Linked DNA regions of Rattus norvegicus. The protein of the gene in region 3 binds, or shares a complex with, the protein of the main gene of each other region. Links are inferred from orthologs where the notes say so. Each region holds a gene or a part of one and is shown on either strand. Other genes may lie near its edges.

Region 1 (4,462 bases), on a different chromosome or scaffold from region 3:
GATGCCCTCTTCTGGTGTGTCTGAAGACAGCTACAGTGTACTTATATATAATAAATAAATAAACCTTTAAAAACAAAAAAACCACTTGTTGCTCTTGCAGAGGACCCAGACTTGATTTCCAGCACCTACATTGTGGCTCACAGCCATCCCTACCTCCAGTTCCAGGGGCTCCAACAAGCACAAACACAGTCCACATACATGTACACAGGTAAAACAGTCATACGCATAAAGTAAATTATTTGGAAGGTAATGGCAAATGTATCTCTGAGTTCAAGGCCAGTTTGGTCTGCAGAAAGAGTTCTGGGACAGTCTGGGCTACACAGAGAAACCCTATCTCAAAACAAAAACAAAAACAAAAAACAACAACAACAAAAAACAAATAAAATAAAATAAACCAAAGACAAGTTTCATAGTGTGGACAGAATTTCTTAAAGGCAACACCTGTCGATAAAAAAAAGCCTATGGCCAATGAGCTGAGGGAGGAAACAGGTGGGACACTGCCAGGAAGAGAGAGAGAATTCTGGGAAATGGTGAGGAAAAAAGGGAGATGCAGGGAGAGGCACTGGAGGGGTCACTGAGACACTGAGAAAGACGACGCTAAGGAAGAGGCAGGCTGGAGACTGCAGGAAAGGTAACCACGTGGAAGACATAGGATAGTTTGAATGCGTTAAATAGGTTATAAGTTAGCCAGGGAATGAGCCAAAGCTTGTAGCCAAGGCATTTATTAATGAATAATTAGTGCCAGAGTCCTTGTTGGGAGCTAAATGGCTGAATCAATTATTTTTATTATTTTTTACAGTAGTGTTCAAGGCTAGCCTGGGCTACATAGTAAGACACTGACGAAAAAGGGGGTGGAGTGGGTGGCTGGGGAACTATTTTGTAAGTAAAGCACAGTGACCTTAGTTCAGAACCCACATAAAAAAAAGCTGGGTGTGGTTGTAAGTATTTATAATCCTAACACTAGGAGATCCCTGGAGTAGAGCACAGAGGCGCACACCTTTGGTCCCAGCACTCAGGACATAGAGGCAGATGGATCTTTATGAGTTTGAGGCCAGTCTGGTCTACATAGTGAGTTCCAGGTCAGCCACCCTGTCTCAAAGAGGAGGAGGAGGGTGGGGAGCAAGAGACAAGGTTCTCTCAGGCCAGCTAGTCTAGCCTATGTGGTTAGTGCGAACACACACACACACACACACACACACACACACACACACACACACACGCACATCCCTGAGCTGGATGTAGTGATACACACTTGGGAGGTGGACACAGGAGAATGAAAAGTTCAAAGCCATCCTCAGCTACAACCTGAAGGCTAGCATGGGCTACACAAGACTGTCAAAAACAAACAAGCAAAACAAAACAAAACAAAACAAAAAAAAAAAAAAAAAGAGGGGGGTTGGGGATTTAGCTCAGTGGTAGAGCGCTTGCCTAGGAAGCGCAAGGCCCTGGGTTCGGTCCCCAGCTCCGAAAAAAAGAACAAAAAAAAAAAAAAAAAGGATAAAGAAATTACAAAAATTAAATAACCAGAGGGAAACAATAAAGGAACAAGGGCCAATAAAGTAGAAAGTGAAAAATTAGAAAATTAAGGAAACTACTCCTGGCTCTTTAAGATGAGTGTTTATTGGGTTCCCCTCATGGGTCAGGCACTGAGTCACTGGGTATACGCAATGAGCACAAAGGACAAGAAAATCCCGGGTACACTCCCTTACACACACTGTCACCACAGCCATCCCTTCTCCCCAGTTTATCTACTAATCAACATTTCCTGCTCCACACCCCCCCCCCAGGCTCCCTCTCCTCCTTTTCCTTATCCCTCCTTTTTGATACCGGTCTTCCCAGGCTCTCCTCAGACTAGCAATCCTCCTGCCTCAGCCCCTTAAGAGCTGGGATGACAAGTGTGTACCACCACATTCAGCTAAACTAAAACCAGGGATTGAAAGGTGGTAGTTAGGGAGAGACGTTTGGCTAACAGATGAATCCATCTTCATAGAATCGAGCTTCTAAATTTTATGTAGCTCTGGCTGGCCGGCATCTCAATCAGGTGGCCCCAAACTCACAGAGATCAACCTGCCTTTGCCTCCCAACTTCTGTGAGGCCCATGACACCCAGTAGCTCGGTTTCTCAATTGCAGGGTCAGTGCTGGATGTGTCAGCGTCGTAGACTCAGGGTCAAGAATTAATTTTGGAAATCAAAATCTGGCTTATACAAGAATAGCCAAAGACCAAAGACCACATCTGGAAGCAAGAGGTCAGAAGATGTGGGAACTAGAGTGGTCAGAAAGGTTCAGACCCGATTTGGGGATCGTAAGCTCAAATTTAAGAGTTCAGAAAAGTTGAGACACTTGACTGTGAGTGAAAACGGACTAGTCTCACAATTTAGTGATTGGTGGTTATGGGTCAGGAAGTCCAGCATCAGAAATCAGAGTTAGGAACGAGAAGATAAGAAGCCACAGAAATCATAGGCTAATGGAGACTCAGGTAAGATCCCTAGGGTAAATTGGTAATTTAAGGTTTACTCACGTGTCCCCATCCTCAGTGACGTAGCCAAAGACTAAGGGCGCCCAAGACAGCTCTGGGCTAAGCTCTGCGACCAGACCTGGTCCTCCGGGAGCTGCTGCGTCGGGACCTAGAGAGCCCAGGCCACTGTCGCACCATTCATCGGCGTCTGCAGTTTTCCCCAAGCACGCGACCCCGGCCATTGCCCCTGCCACCTCGGGTGGCCCCCTGCGGTCGCCTGCCTGACGCTGGGTTCTGCCGAGAGCTCCAGCGCTTCCGCCCTATTGGGAATTCCCCAACACGCCCCCTCATATACCCAATCAAACTGTGTTAAATAGCCACACCCCGCCTCTGTACTGCACCAGAACCAATCAGAATAATGAGATGGACATTCGCTCGCTGAGTTTCCCCAGATTTTCCAGACGCCCTTTATTAATATGGCCGCCGGCGCCAAGCCTTTTGGGATTTGTAGTTTGATAACGTGAGGGGAGCACCGTATGAAAGCGGTTACGGGACCGCGTTGCCTGTCGGGAGTTGTATTTTTCTATCCTCTCTCGGCTCCTTCTTGTTTCCGCTGCCGTCACGGGACAGAGCAGTCGGTGACAGTCCCGAGAGCCCCCACCCCGTTCCCATGGCCGAGCCGGACCGTGAGTTAGGGGCCCTGGTGGGAGGGTGGGAGGGTCGGGCCGCGCCGGGGCCTGGCTTTGGGCTGCAGGCCCCGGGGCCCGCGGGCAGGTCGGTGGGGTGGGAGACAGAGGCTGCCTGAAGGGAGTGGGATTCGGAGGGCTGTTGCTAAGTGGTCGATATTGCTAGGTTGGTGGGTTTCTGGATTGTGAAATTTAAGGGTCCATTTGCAAAGTTTTGAATGATCGCGTTTCTCGCACTTTGGTTGCTGAGGACCCTCGTTGCTAAGGACCAAAGTTACCACGATCCCGGTTGCTAAGGTTGCCTGTTGTTAAGGGCAACTATAGTATGTTTGGGGACCCCTGCGGCCCCTTTCTATCTCATTCCTTCAGTTCTTGTGCCTCTCCTAAACCTCCCACCTTCACTGCATCTCCTCTCCCACACTCAACTCTCAGCAGAAGTATCCCTACTTAACATCTCTTGAAAAACTTAGCCCTCCCTCATTCTCCTGGCTCGCACTCGCTACCTTATCCTGCTTAACTCTGAAACCTTCCTTCAGTCCCGTTTCACCTGCTTTTTCCTCCCAAACCTTCCCCTCCTCACACATTCCTCCACTCTAAAACATGCCTTTCCCCATCTCCAATAGTTTTACTACCATCCATGACTCCAGGATAATTAGGTTGGTGGGTCCTATTGTCGCCTCCACCACTGTGAACCCTTCATCTGCTTAACTATTTCCCCCCACTGTAACCACGTCTGCTCCCCCTCCTCCCCAGCCTCTGACCCTCTGGAGAACCAGGCAGGGAAGGTGCAGGAGGCTCAGGTGAGATGGGGAAAAGGGTGGAGGGAAGGAGAGAAATGGACGTGGTTCCACATGCCGCACTGGGGGAGGTGCAAGGGAAGGCTTTTACCCAAGGGCCCTTGGCTTATGGCCCTGATCCCTAAACCCATCTGGGGATTAGTACAGCTCCTGGGAGAATGGCGGCTTCTGGGGACTGTCAAGGAAAATGTATAGCCTCAACCCCTGGTTCCCTTCCATATTGTCCTCATCTCCTATTGTTGCCCCGCCTATCCTCAATCCCTTCTGAACCTCATTTGTGCTAGACCTGGAAAAGACAGTGTTCCAGTTTGATCCCCAAACTCAGGGAGTATGGGGTTGGGGAAAGGACCCTCTAGGGCTCATAAAAGTACTGAAGCTGGCTGTGGTGTCAGCTACCTGTAATCCCAGCACAGCTGGGGGCAGTGTTGGGGAAGGGGTAGGAGGATGAAGAAAGGAGAGGCAGCTTGGGCCATATAGTGAGACCCTGATTCAAAAAATGAGGGGGGAGAGGGAGGACGCACCC
Region 2 (4,717 bases), on a different chromosome or scaffold from region 3:
AATGAATCTATGGTGTTAAAAGATTCTAAAGTAAGCTATTTTAATTTGGACATATCAAGAGAAAGTCCAAAATACATGACCAACTACATACTCATAACATAAAGTCAGTCCCCTGCTTCTCACAAAGTGCTTGACACTTCAACACAGAACAAGAAAACAGTATCTCACCACCATCTGATACAGTCTGACTCTCTGCCACTCCAGAAGTGCCTGTGGTGAGATGAAGAGCAGTTTCTCCTTCCTCTTGCTACCCTCCTCCAGGCACCTTCCCTCTTCCTCTGTGTGCTCTCCCCCATCTTGAGTAACAAAGGCAATCATCACTCAGATACTGCCTGGCCCCTAGTGGAGTGGTTTATGCATACATGGACACTCCCCTTGGTGAACTTCAAGTACTCCGTAGGCCTGGGAAGCTTCCCTCTTTAACAAGGGCACTCTCTTTTCCACACAATCATCCCTAAAAACACAACTAAAATGCACTTGATGGATTCACAACACAGTCCCCAAAGATGTGGCCTGTATCACAATAGTTCAAGCAGCAGCTGTTTCTCAGTGCTAGGACTCTCTGCTCCCTCTCCTTGTATTCCCTCCCTCAAATTAGTGCTCAGAACACACACCTTGCCTACCCCAGCCCAATCTCCTCTCTGAGGCCTGAGATACAATTCCTCAATAAAACAAGATTGAATTTTTCTCAATAATGTTATCTGTCTCTATTCCAGCCTTCACTGTTTTAAACATATTTAACGTATATACCTCAGCCATTTATTTGCTTAACTTACATCTTTAAGGTCTGTCTATCTCATTACTGGATCTTAGACTAATAGTTATTCTTAACAAGGTTTCACCTCATTTACTGTATTCAATAATGGCTCCTTCCTCAGAGCACAAGACAATGTGATGATGCATTTCATGGAACCAAAGACTCAAATATGAATGCCATCTTATTCTCTGATCATTTAAATCAGAATCATTAGAAACTGCTACTGTTTGTTTCATATATTTGTAAATGTGAAAGTACAATTCGGCTTCTCCTGGGTAAAAATTGGAAAAGGACAAAGTGCTTAAGTGCAGAAGATCCTTTCTGATAAGTTCTGCTCTGGTTAGCAACACATTAATATCCGACGGTCCAGTTAGAGAAGCTGTGCAAAAAAAAAAATAAATAAATAAAAAAGAGGAGGAGAAGGAGAGAGAAGAAGAAGAAGAGGAGGAGGAAGAAGAGGAGGAAGAAGAGGAGGAGGAAGAGGAGGAAGAAGAGGAGGAGAAGCCATCTTTTGGGTTCCATCTTGTAAACTTCTGGATTTATAAGATACTACAGGCCTTTTTATGGTCTTATTAATTTGCCCCACTTTAAGAAAAAAATCTACAACAACCTCACTCTGTAACAGCAAAGCTGTAAAGTCTTCAAGTTACCAGTGTCAGAGGATAAACTTCAGGACGAAACTTGTCTGGTATGATCTACATTTCACATGATTACAGTCTTCTGGCTCAAGCATAGCAAGATTACTAAAGCAAGGGAGCCAGCTCTATTCTGTAGAAGTGTACTTAACCACCGTTTCCACAATTCTCATCAATAAGTTAAGATCTTTATGAAAATAAACATCAAACTCAACTTGTCATTTAAAAGTAAAAGCACCATCAGTGGCTTTTCCCTACCTACCTATGAATCGTTCACTTATTTACTCCTTCCTACTGCTCAACAAGTTTTAAGTCAACAAAAATCTTCTGAAAAGTGATGGAGGAGGGAGAACACTCCCCTCTCATTTCTACATTAACCAATGTTACCCGTCTCCTTTCATGACTGGATTCCAGGAATACTATTCAAACTGAAGCCATGAAATCGAAGCTTTGTTTCACAGTAGAAATATTTTTAATATTCTTATATAAAGTCGCATAAAGTTCCACAACTTGAACATCTGTGTCTAGCGCCAATCTGCAGGCAGCAATGTAATTTGATTTCGACCCATTCATCAGAAACTGGTTTTCAGATGCCGCTACAAGTACGTACTAGAGAAATGCTAGCTGCGCTAAGCCGGCATTGTTTGCAGCAGCGTACAAGTTTTTTTTTCTTTTTCTTTTTTTAATTTGGAAGAAGAGCTTAAAAGAGGAAATTCGAATCATTGGCAAGGTTATCATAGAGCTATCCAGAGAACTCTGAATTACTGAACGAACAGAAAACTCTTGGCGACCTGATACGATCACCTAAGAAAGTTTGAAAGGAAGCTATTTAGTGAGTCGGGGAAAAGATTTAAGAGTATCTCGCTTTTTTCTTTTTCCCTGAAAGATTTAAAGTCCTTAATTTTTTTAATTTTACATCTTCACTGTAAAACCATCTCAACCTCAAAGGCAGACTGAGGCCAAATGGACTTTTAAAAGCCTGCTAGCTTCTTTTTAAGGTTACGTATGTAAATGAAAGACACCACAGCAACTTTGATGACAACTCGCAAGTGAGGTTTGGGGTTTTGAAAAAAAAAATACTAGGTGATCAAAAAAAAAAAAATCAAGAGTTTCTAAATAACCACTAAGCGTTTTCCCAAGCAACACATTCCAAGAAACTTCTCAGTCGCAACTCGTAAGAAGGCAGCAGCTGTGTCCGCGACTGCAGCGCCTAGAGTGGGGTTCCGATCCTGAAAGCTTTCATTACCTCTGGTCGCATTCTCTCACTCCAAACCTCCAAGGTCCCCTCCGCTGTCATCCTGGCCGGCCACGCGTGCGGACACTCGGCCGCGCCCCCGCTTCACTTTTCCTCCCCAGCAGGGAAGCGCATCCAAGGCCCGGGACAGAGTCTCCCGCCACTGCGACCCTCAGCTCCCTCCCCACGGCGGATTCTTGACAGCGAGCCTGGCCAACCTCACCTGTGCTGTCATTCGCGGAGAAGCCGGGCGAGCTGAGTTTGGCTCGTTTGGGGTTGGGCGGTCCGTCCAGCAAGTTCTCGGCCATCTTCACCTGCTCGCGGAAACAGCCCTAAGCGCGGGCGGCGCGACGCGGCCCGGACGGGGGTCGGGCCGGCGGCAGCGAGCAGGCTAGCCAGCGAAGAGCGAGCGCAGGAGCGCGGGCCGGGCCGCGGAGGGCGCAGGCCGGGTGGGGGAGGCGGCGGCCAAATCTCAGCCTCAGCAACAGCGCCCCGCAGCGCTCACCGCCCGCCCCCGGCCGCCGCCGCCGCCGCCGGCCGCGGCCCCCTCATCCCCTGCCCGCCTCCCGAGCGCGACACTCCGCGGCCCGGGCACCCAAGCGGCCCGGCCGCCTCCGCGGGCCCGGCTGGCAGCGACGGCGCCCGGCCCCGCGGCTCAGGCGGCGCCCGGGAACATGGTGGTACCGCCGCCGCCGCCTCGCTGCCCCCCCACCGCGCGCGCCCCACTTAATGAATTCGCCCGCGGCCGGACGACCGGGGGGCTCTGGGCTCCGCCGCCCGCCCGCGGCCCGCCGCCGCCGTGAGGAAAAACAATGCGCCGAGCGGGGCCGCCGCCGCGCCGCGGCCCCCCCACCCCGTGCCGCCGCCGCCGCGGCCGCCGCCGCCGCCGCGGCCGCCGCCGGGCTCCGGGAGGCCGAGACGAGAGGCGAGCGGGGCCGCCGGGGCGGGCGCCGAGGGCCGGGCGGAGCGGGCCGGCCAGGCAGAGCGGGGTGCGCGGGCGGTTGTGGGGCCCGGGACCGGCGGGGCCGAGTAGATCGCGCTCGAAGCCCCGGTCGGATCCGCGACAAGATGGCGGCTGTTGATTCCTCAATTAAAAAAAAAAGAAAGTTTTTTTTCTTCTCTTTCCAGAGCCTGAACGGGGAGGGGGAGGGGGCGGGGCACGCCTGTACGTCACCCCCCGCGGCGTCACCACGCACGGCCCCCGCCCCGCCCCCTCCACCTGCGCCGGCCGCGGCGGAAAGAGCCGAGTGCGCTCGGGTGGAAGGGTCGAAGGCGCGGCGGCAGTGCGTGAGGCGACGGGCTGAGGCGCTGGGCCGGGCCTGCGGGACGCGAAGGGCGCAAAGCAGACGGCCACTTTTGTTCTGACGGTGTCAGAAAGGCGGCACGAGCGGGGAGGGCGCCCTGGGCTCGAGCCTAGGCCCCTGGGCGCGGAGTCGGCGCTGATCCGGGCCCTGCCCGTCCGGTCCTGCCCCGGCAGCTCTCCCTCTTCGCAGCTGGCTCCTCGCCTCCTAGCTCGCAAGCCTCCAGTGTGACATCGGACTGGGAAGACGCCTGAGCAACCTGCGCCTCTTCCCCTCGCCCTGTTAGTGATGGCTTAGTGGCGCCTGCAGGTTACAGAAGGTCCTCAGCTCTGTGTGCAGATAGGGAAACTGAGGCAGGAAGGGGGAAAAGCAACTTTTTTCCGAGATCACCAGGGAGAATATGACTGGACAAGAGTCCACCCCTTGTTCTCCCCAAGTTTAGCAAGGGCACTGCGAGGCTTTTTAGTGTCCACTCCCAAGCCCAAAACGATTGGAGCCAGGTCCAACGCTGTCACCTGAAGGAAGAAGCTGTCGGCTCTACCTCCTGGATCTGAGAAGGGCCCGGGTGCCATGACCAAGGGCTTCGATGTTTTAGGGGTGCTCCTCACTTCAGACAACCACTCTGGCTCTGGCAGGCTCCCAAAAGAATGTAGGATTGCAGGGAGACCCTCTCACCTAGGTATGCCACGCACCTCAAAAACTAAGGTTTTCCCATCTCTGTTAACACTCTCAAAACCTGCCAGCTTGGTTAAGGAGTCCTCATCTTCCAGGTGTCAGCAGCACCCCTGTT
Region 3 (4,637 bases):
ATGTTGTGCCATACACACCGGGCACCTATAGAGCCCATGAAAGCTGTGAAAATACTGAATCTTTTAGAAAAGTTATTTTAACAAAATTTTTATGAAAGTCTCCTGCTATTAGCAACCACTTCATAATCTGAAAAGTAACTTAAATACGTTGCTAATCCATATTCATGTTTTCACAGGGCCCACACAGAAGGATCTTGAGAAGACTGATGGCATACTCTTCTTTTCAGAGACTTAAAAGTGAAAAAAAAATCATTTGTTTAAATATGTAAAACTTACTAACTGAACACAATCACTTGCATACTCAGTAATCCATTTCTACGTCAAAAATGTAAAGTCATGCTTTTATCATATATGAATTTTAAATGTCAAAGGGACTTTGAAACTAATGATATGATTTTTTTTTTAGTGTGACTTTCCCTTTTTTGTTAAAGTGACGCTGAGATATGTAGTGACGTGAATGCTAAGAAAACCAGTTCCTTTAAAGGAAATGTACTGAATTATTAAAAATAGTTATCACAAAAACCATCAAAGTAGTCTTAAATATTGATGTGTATGATGCTTCTGGGTCTTTTAGTTCTAATTTGTTTTAAAGAGCTTATATTCTTTTAGATATGAAAGGGTGAGGACACAGCATGTAAAAACTCCTTGGTCTAGAGGTACCCAGAACTTCAGACTTCACGGCGCCATTGTTCTTCAGCAGTTTTAAGAGTTTGAAACTTTTACATATGAAAAAGATTTTTTTCCTTAAAAATAAAACTGTCGACAATCTTTTCCCTTCTAGTGAGCTGCAGAATATTGAGATGGCCACCAGTTGCTTTTCAGATCTTCTCACTGAAGATACAAGTCTCAGCAAATTAAAATATTGAGGTAGCACTTAAACGAGCAAATTCACACAAAACACACAGTAAAATAAAAATGGATGGCTTTGTAATATGCTTCACTCCAACTAATGCATGACACTGACTTCAAATTTCCGTATATTAAAATTAATATTTTGGACATTTACTTTAGAGCAAATGCGGTTGAAGATAAGGCCACAGAGAACTTATTTTAAAGTCGAAACCGAATCTTCTGAAACATCGCTTCCAAGTGCTCTTAGCATCTATGAGCGCGTCTGTTAAACATTCAAGAGAAGTATCTCTTTGAGAAGTCACAATGTATGTCAGCTCCTACCCTAGCCAGGCTTTAAATCACATAGCACCTGGACCTAGCTATATTTTTAGTCAGCAGTTGATCACTTAGCTATGGACAGGAGGACTCCCACAGAGCACCTGATATCTTTGGAAGACCTGCCCAAGTCCAAGACTAAGTTATTCATTTAATAACTCCGGTTAACAATTTGCTTTGTGCATGATAATAAAGAGTTGACATTATGATAATGAACTCCAAATCAAGAAAGAGGCTTTCCAACTGTTAGTTACCCTCCAACTTGGTTCATCTGGTTTTGTTTTCAAATGATCATTTCAATTTACATTTTTGTCCTTCATTCTGCTAAAGAAGAACAACTTTAGCTTCTGCCTGACAGAAAACTCAACTCTTGATTTTTTTCCTCCTCCTGAAGTAAATGACACGACCTTCCCACCGTTAGCATCAGAAGCGAAGCAGATTCTTACAGTACAAGAACACAGCCAAACCATCCTGATGTGTAAGAACTTGGGGCAGTTTGGCCACTTCACAACACCCTCTAACAAAGTGCCATGACGATGCAGCCACTCACCTACTCAATGGGAGTTAAGATGAATTTAGCGCTGCAGCCTTCTGATCACCAGCAGAGGTCCAGGCCCCTTCTTGACCTCCTCGAGTCCCTTATATAAAAGCAGCCCAGGCTACTCCCAGTTTCTGCCTCCTCACCTTAGGCTCCTCCCCACTCCCAAGCCATAAAGCACCGGAGCCACACACCCACCTTCCACCCCCACCACGAGGGCTGCCTACTCCAGTTAGCCCTGCCCTGTGCTCGCCCCCTTCCTAGGCTGAAGAGGGGCACTGGTGGGGCGGGGCCTTGGCGACAGTGACCCCATTTTCCTCACACCTGGCGAGCCCCGGGCGGGCGGGAGCCCCGGGCCAAGTTGCTTAGACGATCACCGGCGCACCCTCCTCCCCCCACCCCCAGCGCCTCGGGGTACCCGGTGGCTACTGGCGAGCCCCTCTCTGAAAACTGTCACCAGATCCACACAATGCGGCCTCCCGCGGGAGTTCTGGACCGTGCGGAGACCTGGCTTTCCTGTCAGGGTCGGGCTGCCCGGGCTACCCTGCTCCGAGCTCGCACACGCCTGCCGGAGCACCTTCTGAGGAAACCTGAGGTGGCTCCACTGTGGCCCTCCGGGCCTGCCGGGCCGTGCCCCTCACGAGGACATTCACCTTGTCAGTCACACTCGGCTCTCTAGGCGGGTGACCGGTCCTCAGCCGAGACCCCTCACTCCGACCCCGCCCCGCTATCACGCTCTCTCACTCTTCTCCTAAGTGACTTCTCCTCAGACCGCATCCCCCTCAGACCCAGACTCGATCACCTTGTCTGTCACATTTGGTCCTGTCAAGAGTATGACTTCTCCTCAGTCCCCTCAGTTAAGATTCCGTCACTTTGTCTGTCACGCTCCGTCCTGTCAGAGTGCGACTTTCCAGCCCACGTCCCCTCTAGTTGAGACAGGATTAGGCTGTCAGTTACACAGTCCTGACAGAGAGTGGCTTCTCCTCATCCCGCGTCCCCTCAGCCGAGACCCAGTCACCTAGACAGTCAGATCCAGTCCCCACAGGCCGAGGCCCCCTCACCTTGTCTGTCACACAGTCCGGTCAGAAAGTGACTTCTCAGCCCGCGTCCCCTCAGCCGAGAGAGACCTCGTCAGGCTGTCAGTCTCACCGGGTCCTGTCTGAGTATGACTTCTCCTCAGCCCGTCCCCTCAGCCTGGTCACCTTGTCGTCACACTCAGTCCCCTCAGGCCTCACACGACCCGGTACCCCAGTGCGGCGCCCCAGGTCTCTTCTTCAGCGTCCCTGCGGCGGGCCTTGTGGCCCGGGGCGACTCTGACCTGAGGCGGCGGCTTGGCGGGCAATGTGCGTCCGTGCGGCCGACCCGACCCGAGCGCCCCAGGCGGCGGCCGCTCCGAGTGCGACCGCCCCGCCTGGCCGCGGACGAGCCGAGCTGAGCGACCCGGCCGGACCGGGGGCGGTGCCCAGGGAGAGGCCGGAGGCCCCGCACCCGCAACCAGAGGCCGGCGCCCACGAGACCCGCGTGGCTCTTCAGCGCCCGGCACCCCGCGCTGGTTACCTGGCCGCCTTGCTCCTCACAGTCGCTGGGAGGCGACCCAAGAAGGTCCCACGTTCCTCAGACAGATGCCCATGGCCCGGCTGGTGCCCTGACTGTCACGCAGAAGTTTGTTTTTTTCTAGATGTACTTTTCAGTAACATTTAAAAATAATAATAATAACAATAATAATATAAATTAAGTATATTTAGGATCTCTTTTTATTTTTATTTTTACTCTCAGAACAATATGAAGGAGAACACCTTCATAAACTGACTTTGTGTTAACCATTTAATTTCCTTTTAAATACAATTTTGTGTGTGTGTGTGTGTGTATGTGTACTGAGAGGCATGGTCTCTCTGGGGCTGGAGTTACAAGTGGTTGGTTGGTGCTGGGAACTGAACAAGGGTCCTCTGGACAAACACTAAGTGTTCCTAACCTCTGAGCTGTCTCTCCTGCCCTCAAACTATTTGTTAACCTTGTTCACTAAAGAACAATTAAGAATTTTTAGAATTCTTTAGCACCATTTCTTGCATGGGGGACCTTACACACAGTGTGGAAAGGACTTGGGAATCTCTTGTTTTTAGTTAGAATTTTGGAGCATCTTGTCTCAGGAGCCTGAAGCATGCATGATGGACAGTTCCTTTTCTTGCCCTCTTTCAGCTCTTTCTGTCATGATCTGTCCTAAAGATGCACATTCAGAAAGCCGTCGATGTTCAGGACACCAGAGGACTTTCTTTTACCCTTTCCAATCTTATTGATGAAAATCTTGTTCTATGGCTCTCCTTTGGGAGGTACTGACCTTTGGGAGTTTATAATTGTGCTTCTTGCTCAGGATGCTCCTCCACTCTTAGCATCTTTGTTTGTTGGGAGACAGGGAATTCTTTATTCTTCTGGTACTAAACATCCTCACCAGGGGTTTGTAAGTATGACACTATAATGAAAGCTCAGAGCTTGAATCAACAGATTCATGTCCTTCCACCCTAAAGCCCTCAAATAATAAGACACAGATCAGGTTCATATAGGGACTCTAAAGCCCATTTTACTAACCACACAGAGACTCCATTTCTATGCCTGTCAGTAAGTAATCATGTTGACTTGGGTCAGCATCCCACACTCAGCGGGAAGTACGCATGTGTGTACATGTATGTAGTAAATATGTAGCCAACTTCTTGCTCATGCAGGAGTTCCGATCTACTTTTGTTTTGTTTTTGTTTTGAACTTTTGACTAAGCTTTTTGAAAAGGTTTTGCTATGTTGCCCTGGCTGCCTTGAACTCACTGTGATTCTCCTGAGGCTTATCCCCTTGTGTCAGTTTAATATCTTTATTGAAATATAATTCATATAATCTAAGATTCAAATATCATACCTTCAAAATTCCCACATTGAGTTTTGGCCTC

The links. The genes of interacting proteins can lie anywhere in the genome.
Region 1: the proteins of Pparg (region 3) and Nfkbib are in contact, whole or in part, in a crystal structure (PDB 9CK0), measured with the Homo sapiens proteins. The link is inferred for Rattus norvegicus from reciprocal best matches to the Homo sapiens genes PPARG and NFKBIB. Residues at the interface, in NP_056953.2 of Homo sapiens: Gln322, Thr325, Lys329, Phe334, Leu339, Gln342, Val343, Leu346, Lys347, Leu496, Glu499, Ile500; in NP_002494.2 of Homo sapiens: Asn286, Pro287, Ile288, Leu289, Ala290, Leu292, Leu293, Arg294, Ala295.
Region 2: the proteins of Pparg (region 3) and Crebbp are in contact, whole or in part, in a crystal structure (PDB 7RLE), measured with the Homo sapiens proteins. The link is inferred for Rattus norvegicus from reciprocal best matches to the Homo sapiens genes PPARG and CREBBP. Residues at the interface, in NP_056953.2 of Homo sapiens: Val321, Gln322, Thr325, Glu326, Lys329, Phe334, Val335, Leu339, Asn340, Gln342, Val343, Thr344, Leu346, Lys347, Leu496, Glu499, Ile500, Lys502; in NP_004371.2 of Homo sapiens: Asp62, Ala63, Ala64, Lys66, His67, Lys68, Gln69, Leu70, Ser71, Leu73, Leu74, Arg75.

Annotation. Positions count from the first base shown.
Region 1 is NC_086019.1:93,178,431-93,182,892, forward strand, and holds the start of Nfkbib (NF-kappa-B inhibitor beta), read right to left. Parts: upstream 2,958-4,462; 5' UTR 2,699-2,957; coding exon 2,520-2,698; intron 1-2,519. Other genes in the region: Sirt2 (NAD-dependent protein deacetylase sirtuin-2), read left to right, coding at 3,127-3,142, 3,896-3,942. UniProt on the Homo sapiens protein: Inhibits NF-kappa-B by complexing with and trapping it in the cytoplasm.
Region 2 is NC_086028.1:11,840,580-11,845,296, reverse strand, and holds the start of Crebbp (histone lysine acetyltransferase CREBBP), read right to left. Parts: upstream 2,958-4,717; 5' UTR 2,935-2,957; coding exon 2,850-2,934; intron 1-2,849. UniProt on the Homo sapiens protein: Acetylates histones, giving a specific tag for transcriptional activation. Mediates acetylation of histone H3 at 'Lys-18' and 'Lys-27' (H3K18ac and H3K27ac, respectively).
Region 3 is NC_086022.1:150,094,264-150,098,900, reverse strand, and holds the start of Pparg (peroxisome proliferator-activated receptor gamma), read right to left. Parts: upstream 3,071-4,637; 5' UTR 2,767-3,070; intron 1,844-2,766; exon of another isoform or gene 1,718-1,843; intron 1-1,717. UniProt on the Homo sapiens protein: Nuclear receptor that binds peroxisome proliferators such as hypolipidemic drugs and fatty acids.